Linked DNA regions of Kluyveromyces lactis. The protein of the gene in region 2 purifies or fractionates together with the protein of the main gene of each other region. This does not show direct contact. Links are inferred from orthologs where the notes say so. Each region holds a gene or a part of one and is shown on either strand. Other genes may lie near its edges.

Region 1 (4,047 bases), on a different chromosome or scaffold from region 2:
CATTGAATCCTGTTTCTCCATTCTTCAACGCCTATATATATAACCACAGTTTGAAATGTCAGAAGAACAAGAACAAAAGGTGGATGTTAAGCCAGAAACACATATTAACTTGAAGGTTTCGGATGGATCCAGTGAGATCTTCTTCAAGATCAAAAAGACCACTCCATTAAAAAGATTAATGGAGGCATTTGCTAAGAGACAAGGTAAAGAGATTGAATCCCTAAGATTCCTTTACGACGGTGTGCGTGTGTTACCAGATCAGACCCCTGAAGATTTGGACATGGAAGATAACGATATCATTGAAGCTCACAGAGAGCAAATTGGTGGTAGTTTGTAATTGGGAGTGTACTTTGCAGCAGTAAGTGGGATCAACTACAGCATTCCCATCCTTTTTTATCTTTCAATGTAACCTATCTAATGTTATAATAACTGACTATGTATCTGGAATATTAAAACTACTTTGGATGAACAACAAGAAAAGTGCCCGCAAGCTTATCTGCATTTCCCCAGGGAAAACAGTCGGTATGGAATTAGAAATGAAATCCGAATGGAAAGAAAAAAGAGATTGGGTATCAAATGGCAGGGCTTATAACAGACCTCCTGCAAATTACCACCCTTGTATTCCTATTTCGATTCGAAAAGCTAGGTTTGCTTCAAGTTTCGCGTTTTTAGGTCTTTTTTTTTTCAAGTCATTTTCCTTCCTAGTATGGTGAACATTCTTTTCAATTAGTATAACTGTTACAGTAAATGATTTTAGAAAGAATAATTTACCAGAAGTGGAAGAAATATTAGCTGTCTTGTTAATAGTTTTCTGCCACACTCGTTTTGAATTTGGTAGGTTTTTTCTTCCATTGTTATTTGGCATACATATATACCAAGACGTGAAGTTTAATTGTGTTTTTCTTTGGTGAAAATTGTACCTGAGGGAAATACTGAGAAATTGAGACAAGGCTCATCACATAAAACTGGAAGTAGATTAAACCATAAAAGTTATCGTGAAAAAAATAATTTCAATTCACTTCAACCATCTTCAACCACGACCAATTGAATTCACTAGACGGTACCAGATATCAGACATAGAGAGTTATTTATCTAGGCAAGCGAATCTCACTCTGATAAAAACGATATATTACACCACATTCATTCTCATAAGAAATTATCATTCAAACCTTTACGCGACTGGGGAACATTATAACTTGTAGCTTGGCCAATACTATCACAATATATCAGAAATGAACGGTAACGGAATAACGACGTTAAAGGGTGACACAATTGGCCCGTGGAAGTTGGGCTCGACACTGGGTGTTGGCTCAACAGGTAAAGTCGTAATGGCCTATAATGAAACTAAAGGACAACAAGCCGCTGTGAAAATTATATCAAAATCAATATTCAACGCTCAAGGGTCGACAATGATTGGTGGTAACGATCCTGATGTCTTACCCTATGGTATTGAACGTGAAATTATCATTATGAAGTTGTTGAATCATCCTAATGTCTTGAGATTATACGATGTTTGGGAAACTTCAAAAGATTTATATATGGTTTTAGAGTACGTTGAAAAAGGTGAGTTATTCAACTTGTTGGTGGAAAGGGGCCCATTACCTGAGAATGAGGCAGTCAGATTTTTCAGACAGATAATTATCGGTATTTCTTACTGCCATGCGTTAGGTATAGTTCATCGTGATTTGAAGCCTGAAAATCTTTTATTAGACCATAAATTCAATGTCAAACTAGCCGATTTCGGTATGGCAGCACTAGAATCAAAAGATAAATTACTGGAAACTAGTTGTGGTTCGCCTCATTACGCGGCACCCGAAATTGTCTCGGGCTTGCCATATCACGGTTTTGAATCCGATGTTTGGTCATGTGGTGTTATTCTTTACGCTTTACTGACCGGTAGGTTGCCATTTGATGAAGAAGATGGCAATATCAGAAATCTCTTGTTAAAGGTTCAAAGTGGGAAATTTGAAATGCCTGGAGATGATGAAATATCATCGGAAGCCCAAGATTTAATCGCCAGAATCTTAACAGTAGATCCAGAACAAAGAATCAAGACAAGAGAGATCCTAAAGCATCCACTTCTAAGAAAATACCCAAGCATTAAGGACTCTAAATCCATTAGAAACTTACCTCGAGAAGATACCTATTTGAATCCACTATCATTAGAAGGAGGAAATCAATGCGTAGATGAAACTATTTTGCAGAATTTGGTTGTTCTATGGCATGGTAGAAATAAGGAAGACATTATTACGAAGTTGATGGAACCTGGTGCTAATTTAGAAAAGACTTTTTACGCTTTACTGCATAGATTTAAACACGATAATTACCAAGATCAATTGAAGCAACAAGAATTACAAAAGAAACAATCTGTCTCTTCGAATTCGCTGATGTACGTTGGATCTTTACCATCTCCTAATAAATCTGATTCCCCAGTCACCACTCCAAAGAAGAAAAGAACATCAATCATAGTTGCCTCATCTTCTCACAAAAGACCTGTATCAATGCAAAAACTGAGTAGCCAACATAGCTCACCAGTGAAAAACGGCTCAATAGGTAAACGTTTGAGTAAGACTTTCCCTTCAAACAAGAGAATTTCACAGCTAGTCTCCAATTCGTCTTCTCCAACCCCTGCTGCTCATAAAAGAGTTTCCAGGATAAACGATAGTGCAGCTCCACCCGTCCCTAAAGAAATGCTTCGTGACTACAAAAGACAATCAAAGAGACAATCCAAAAGATTCTCTCTACTGCCTAATATGAAGCGTGGATCTATAACAACGAAACTGATTGCAACGTATGCAAAACTTTCCGAAGACAGTGAATGGGAATACATCGAAAAGGAAACGAAAAGGACAAGTCAGGACTTTGCTACATTGATGGATCAGATTTTCGAGCATGAGAAATACGAACAAATACGGAAAGAGAAGGAAGAGTTGGAAAGAAAAGTCAACGAAGCTCGTGAGAAGGAGGAAGCTGAAAGAAAGGAACGGGAAAGGATCGAGCGGGAGGAGCAAGAAAGACTTGAAAGAGAAGAACGAAAGCGAGCTGAAAGACAGAAGGAATTGCAAGACCAAATGGAAGACGAAATTGCTAAGCTCAAGGCGGAATATGAAGCTGTTCAGGGGAGCTCGGATGAAAGAAACACAGCCAATGGAAGATCTGTCTCTGCTCCGATAGAGACCGATAGAACTGCAAACAAAAGAGATAGTACATTCGGTATAAAGAATGACATCAATGAACTAATCAATACAAGAAACTTCTCTCTACAAACGAGACCAGTTTCCAGACTTGACCCTGGTATCATAGCTGCTGAAAGTAGACTGTCAGCTAACCTAGAAGATGACCAAGCGTCAAAGGAAAAGACTATTCTGGAAACCATTAGACGCTCCAAATTCCTTGGATCGCAATTTAACTTGAACGTTGAATTAGAGAAAGCCCAAAAGGATTTAGTATCTAAAGAGAGACAAGAACAATTGAGAAAGTACTCTGAACAGACTGCAAAGTACGAGGTTCAAAAGTTACCCAAGAATGCTAAAGCAGTTGCAACTCTCAGAGATGACGAAGTTGAACCCAGAAAGCTCTCAGAAGTCAAAGTTCCACAATTTACAAGGAGGTCAAAACATTTCTCTTCCTCTAACAAAAGATTTTCTGTATTGTCACTGTATTCAACTAAGACTTCATTCACGAACCTTGTGGATCATTTGAAGAACGATAATTATCTTGAACCTCTACCTGGCCAACCTGAATACTCATCATCCAAGGTTGCACAGGAACCAGAATTCATGTTTGAGACCGTTGAAGAGCTTGATGAAAATTCTAAGCTGTTCGAAGTACCAGAAACAGAGGAAGGAAAACTAGCTTCTGCCGCCAGAAAGGAATCTACTGATGCCAGAAAACAAAGTACTAATGATAAGGATATTAACTTGCCGTCGTTACCTCCATTGCAGGTATCTCATGACGTAGCCGACGAGAATGGAGCATTAGGGCTTGGCATTTACCAGCCAAACGATCAGACACAAAAGCCCCACAAAACAATGCTCATTGATGAAT
Region 2 (3,259 bases):
CACGACATTTGTGTCTGATAAATGAATTTACAGTAGTGATGAAAAATTTGTGTAAATAATTCACGCGTATATAACACCAGAGGTTGATAAACTCCATCGTTTAGATGACTTCACCAAGAACGAGAAAAGCCATACCCCGACCAGTCGTAACCACCAGCAATACAGACGAAAGATGTTCAAAAAGATTAGAGATAAGATTCATCCAACATACAATCCTGAGGGCATCACGTGGACCAGACGCAAGTCTGGTCCACAAGTGGTAGCCGAAGTACCAGTTGTTGTCGACAAGAAAACTGGACAGAACGGCAAGGCCAAGAGCAAGAGCAAGGATAAAGCTGCCGGTGCACTACCTTGTCATGACAGATACACAGAAGAGCTCGATGTCGAGCTCGTTGTGAAACAGCTCAGTTTGGAAGACGAACTGAAATTGGTACATGATGTAGCGATGGAATCCATCGTTGCGTCTGACATTTCATCACCGTCGTCTTCATCGACAACAACGGCTTCCTCTGACAAAAATGCTAAACACGTGACATCCAAAGCTTCGTCTACCGTTCCGCCCCACAAACAAATTACCGGCAATAACGCCGCCCCATCACGTCGGGTAACAAGTATGTATACAATTTTCAATTTGGAACTTTTTTTCCGACCCCCTTTCCCTATCGGCACCCTTTGCTCCATTTGTCCTTGATCCCTGCCTAGGTGGCCCCTGAGTGGCTTCCCTGCTTGGTTTCCTGGATGTGATCGGACTAACGGAGAAGTACTCACGAACTTCCACTTTTCCCTGGCATCCGGTTCCAGGAAAAACTATACTATTTGAACAAGCAATCTTCTTCCTATTAAGTAATACTACGAAGGGGCAAACTGTTCAGTAGTCTGGCTAGTCAGTTCCTAGATTATTCTGTCAGACAAAACACTTTTCTTGCTTTCTACGCATATACAAGGGAAGGCTCTCAACCCAGTCATGCTTTCAGGCAAAAAAAAAAAAACTATTTCGATTTCTCTCTCCTTCAATTTTCCAGTAAGCTGATTCGATACAATAAATGTCTGGACTAACAAAGCAATTTGCAAGCAGTTTTAGTTTACTCTTTCCGCTTAGTATTTATTGTCTGAATAAAACTTTGAGAAAGACATGAGGACATTGGAAAATTTTTCATTGAGCCAGACAAGAAAGACGATAAAACTGTTGTTTTTAACCTGATTCTCTCCCCCCCGCATAATATTTTGAATCGGTGTGCGCGTGTGTTTGTGAGTGCGTGTGCTGAATATTTTATTTTACTGGTCTTAGAAGACGTTGCGTGTTTGAAGTTTTTGGAAAATTTGGTGAAATTTAAGGTAAAAAAAAAAGAACACCAAGAACAAGACTTCGCATATAACAATTAACACACACAGACAGATCAATCACTTCTTATCTGTTGTGAGAGAGAAAGGATTCAGAGAAAAGTGTGCATGTCAGCATAGTTTTAGTACAATACTCCTTTTTTTTTTTGAATGAAAGTTGGTGAATTGCTCGAAAGTAGCGGTGCCGGTGGTTCAAGATCTATTATTGCATATACTAACGATAAAAACGCTGGTTTTGAGACAGAGATGGATTCCATTTTACCCAGTGATGATTTAAAACAAGGCAGTCTTCATAGTAAGAACAGTCATGGTAATGATGTTAAAATCGTTCCAGATGAAGACGAAGTAATAACCCGAAGGACTGTGGTGAAAGGCCATTCCAACCCCGAGGAGTCAGTTGTTATTTCATGCGGCACACCTGAAATTGTGGGAAATGGTTCGTTTGGTGTCGTTTTCAGAACAAAAGTGAAAGAGACTGGGGAGGATGTTGTCATTAAGAAGGTTCTACAGGATAGACGGTTTAAGAATAGAGAACTGGAGATCATGAAATTGATCAGTCATCCGAATTTGATCGATTTGAAGTACTATTTCCTTGAACAATCGGACCAAGAACTTTATCTAAATTTGATTGTAGATTACATGCCCATGTCTCTTTATCAACGGCTCAAAGAGTTCATTTCCTTGCATCAACCAATGGATCGTTACGAAATCAAGATTTACATGTTCCAATTGTTCAAATCTTTAAACTATTTGCATCAAGTGGTCAATGTCTGCCATAGAGACATCAAACCACAGAATATTTTGGTGGATCCAGATACTTTACTGTTGAAAATCTGTGATTTGGGGTCTGCTAAACAGTTGAAACCAAACGAGCCCAATGTGTCATATATTTGCTCCCGTTACTACAGAGCCCCAGAGTTGATCTTTGGTGCTACCAATTACACAACAAAGATTGATATTTGGTCTGCAGGTTGTGTTATGGCTGAACTGCTATTAGGACAACCCATTTTCCCTGGTGAATCTAAGATCGATCAATTGGTTGAAATTATTAAAGTTTTGGGTACACCAACCAGGGAAGAGATCTGTTCCATGAATGAAAACTACTCCGAACATAAGTTCCCTCAGATCAGACCGATCCCATTGAATAGGATCTTCAAGAAGGAAACACAGGAAACTATAGACTTATTATACCATATCATGAAATATGATCCTAATATCAGATACAGCGCTTTACAATGTATGTTCAATTCGACGTACTTCACTGATATCGTCAGCAACACCGGGTCGGACTCAAACCTTTCGTTGATCGATTCTTTACCATTGCTACATTTTGAGGAAAGTGAATTACAAGGGTTGTCATCTAACGATATATATAGATTGACTGGCAAACTGATATAGAACCGACAAGACAAAAGGAAAACTAAAAACAAAAAAAAAGACTAGTTGAGAGAAGGAAATATGCAAATACAAATGCATTAATGTAACGTTCTACCCAGCACATCCAAAGAAAATGAAATTAATACACGAAATTAATGTGCATACAAATAGTTACTTCTCATATGCCTACTTGTTGCAGGCAACACCGTTGTTCAATGCTATCCTACGCTCCCCCCCTTTGCATATCATATTTCTCTTCAATTTTAAAGTTCATTTCAATGTCTTTCGGAAAACCTATAGTTCTATCCTGTCCCTAATAGTGTTCATATTGGGCAGTGGATTCTTTTTATTTATGTTAAGCATTCCCTATTCCTCACTAGGAAAAGGGCACTTGGACATCATAATTCTTCCTTTTATAGCAATACTTTTCTTTCTAGCTTCCGTCCTACCTTTTTCATACCGGATTTCACCTTGTCAGTTCATAATAATATCAATACTCACCTATTAAGAGCCACATGACGTGCGTGCGATTGAGTACTTA

What was found.
Region 1: the proteins of KLLA0_F17006g (region 2) and KLLA0_C01650g purify together in Saccharomyces cerevisiae (affinity purification with mass spectrometry, with the first as the bait; 3 studies listed by BioGRID). This does not show direct contact. The link is inferred for Kluyveromyces lactis from reciprocal best matches to the Saccharomyces cerevisiae genes RIM11 and GIN4.

Annotation. Positions count from the first base shown.
Region 1 is NC_006039.1:126,887-130,933, forward strand, and holds the start of KLLA0_C01650g (uncharacterized protein), read left to right. Parts: upstream 1-1,232; coding exon 1,233-4,047. Other genes in the region: SUMO family protein SMT3, read left to right, coding at 56-337. UniProt on the Saccharomyces cerevisiae protein: Serine/threonine-protein kinase which regulates the localization and the function of the septins during mitosis. Phosphorylates SHS1.
Region 2 is NC_006042.1:1,561,339-1,564,597, reverse strand, and holds KLLA0_F17006g (serine/threonine protein kinase RIM11), read left to right. Parts: upstream 1-1,491; coding exon 1,492-2,739; downstream 2,740-3,259. Other genes in the region: KLLA0_F17028g (uncharacterized protein), read left to right, coding at 173-691. UniProt on the Saccharomyces cerevisiae protein: Serine/threonine protein kinase that is thought to function in regulating kinetochore activity and entry into meiosis. Could phosphorylate IME1.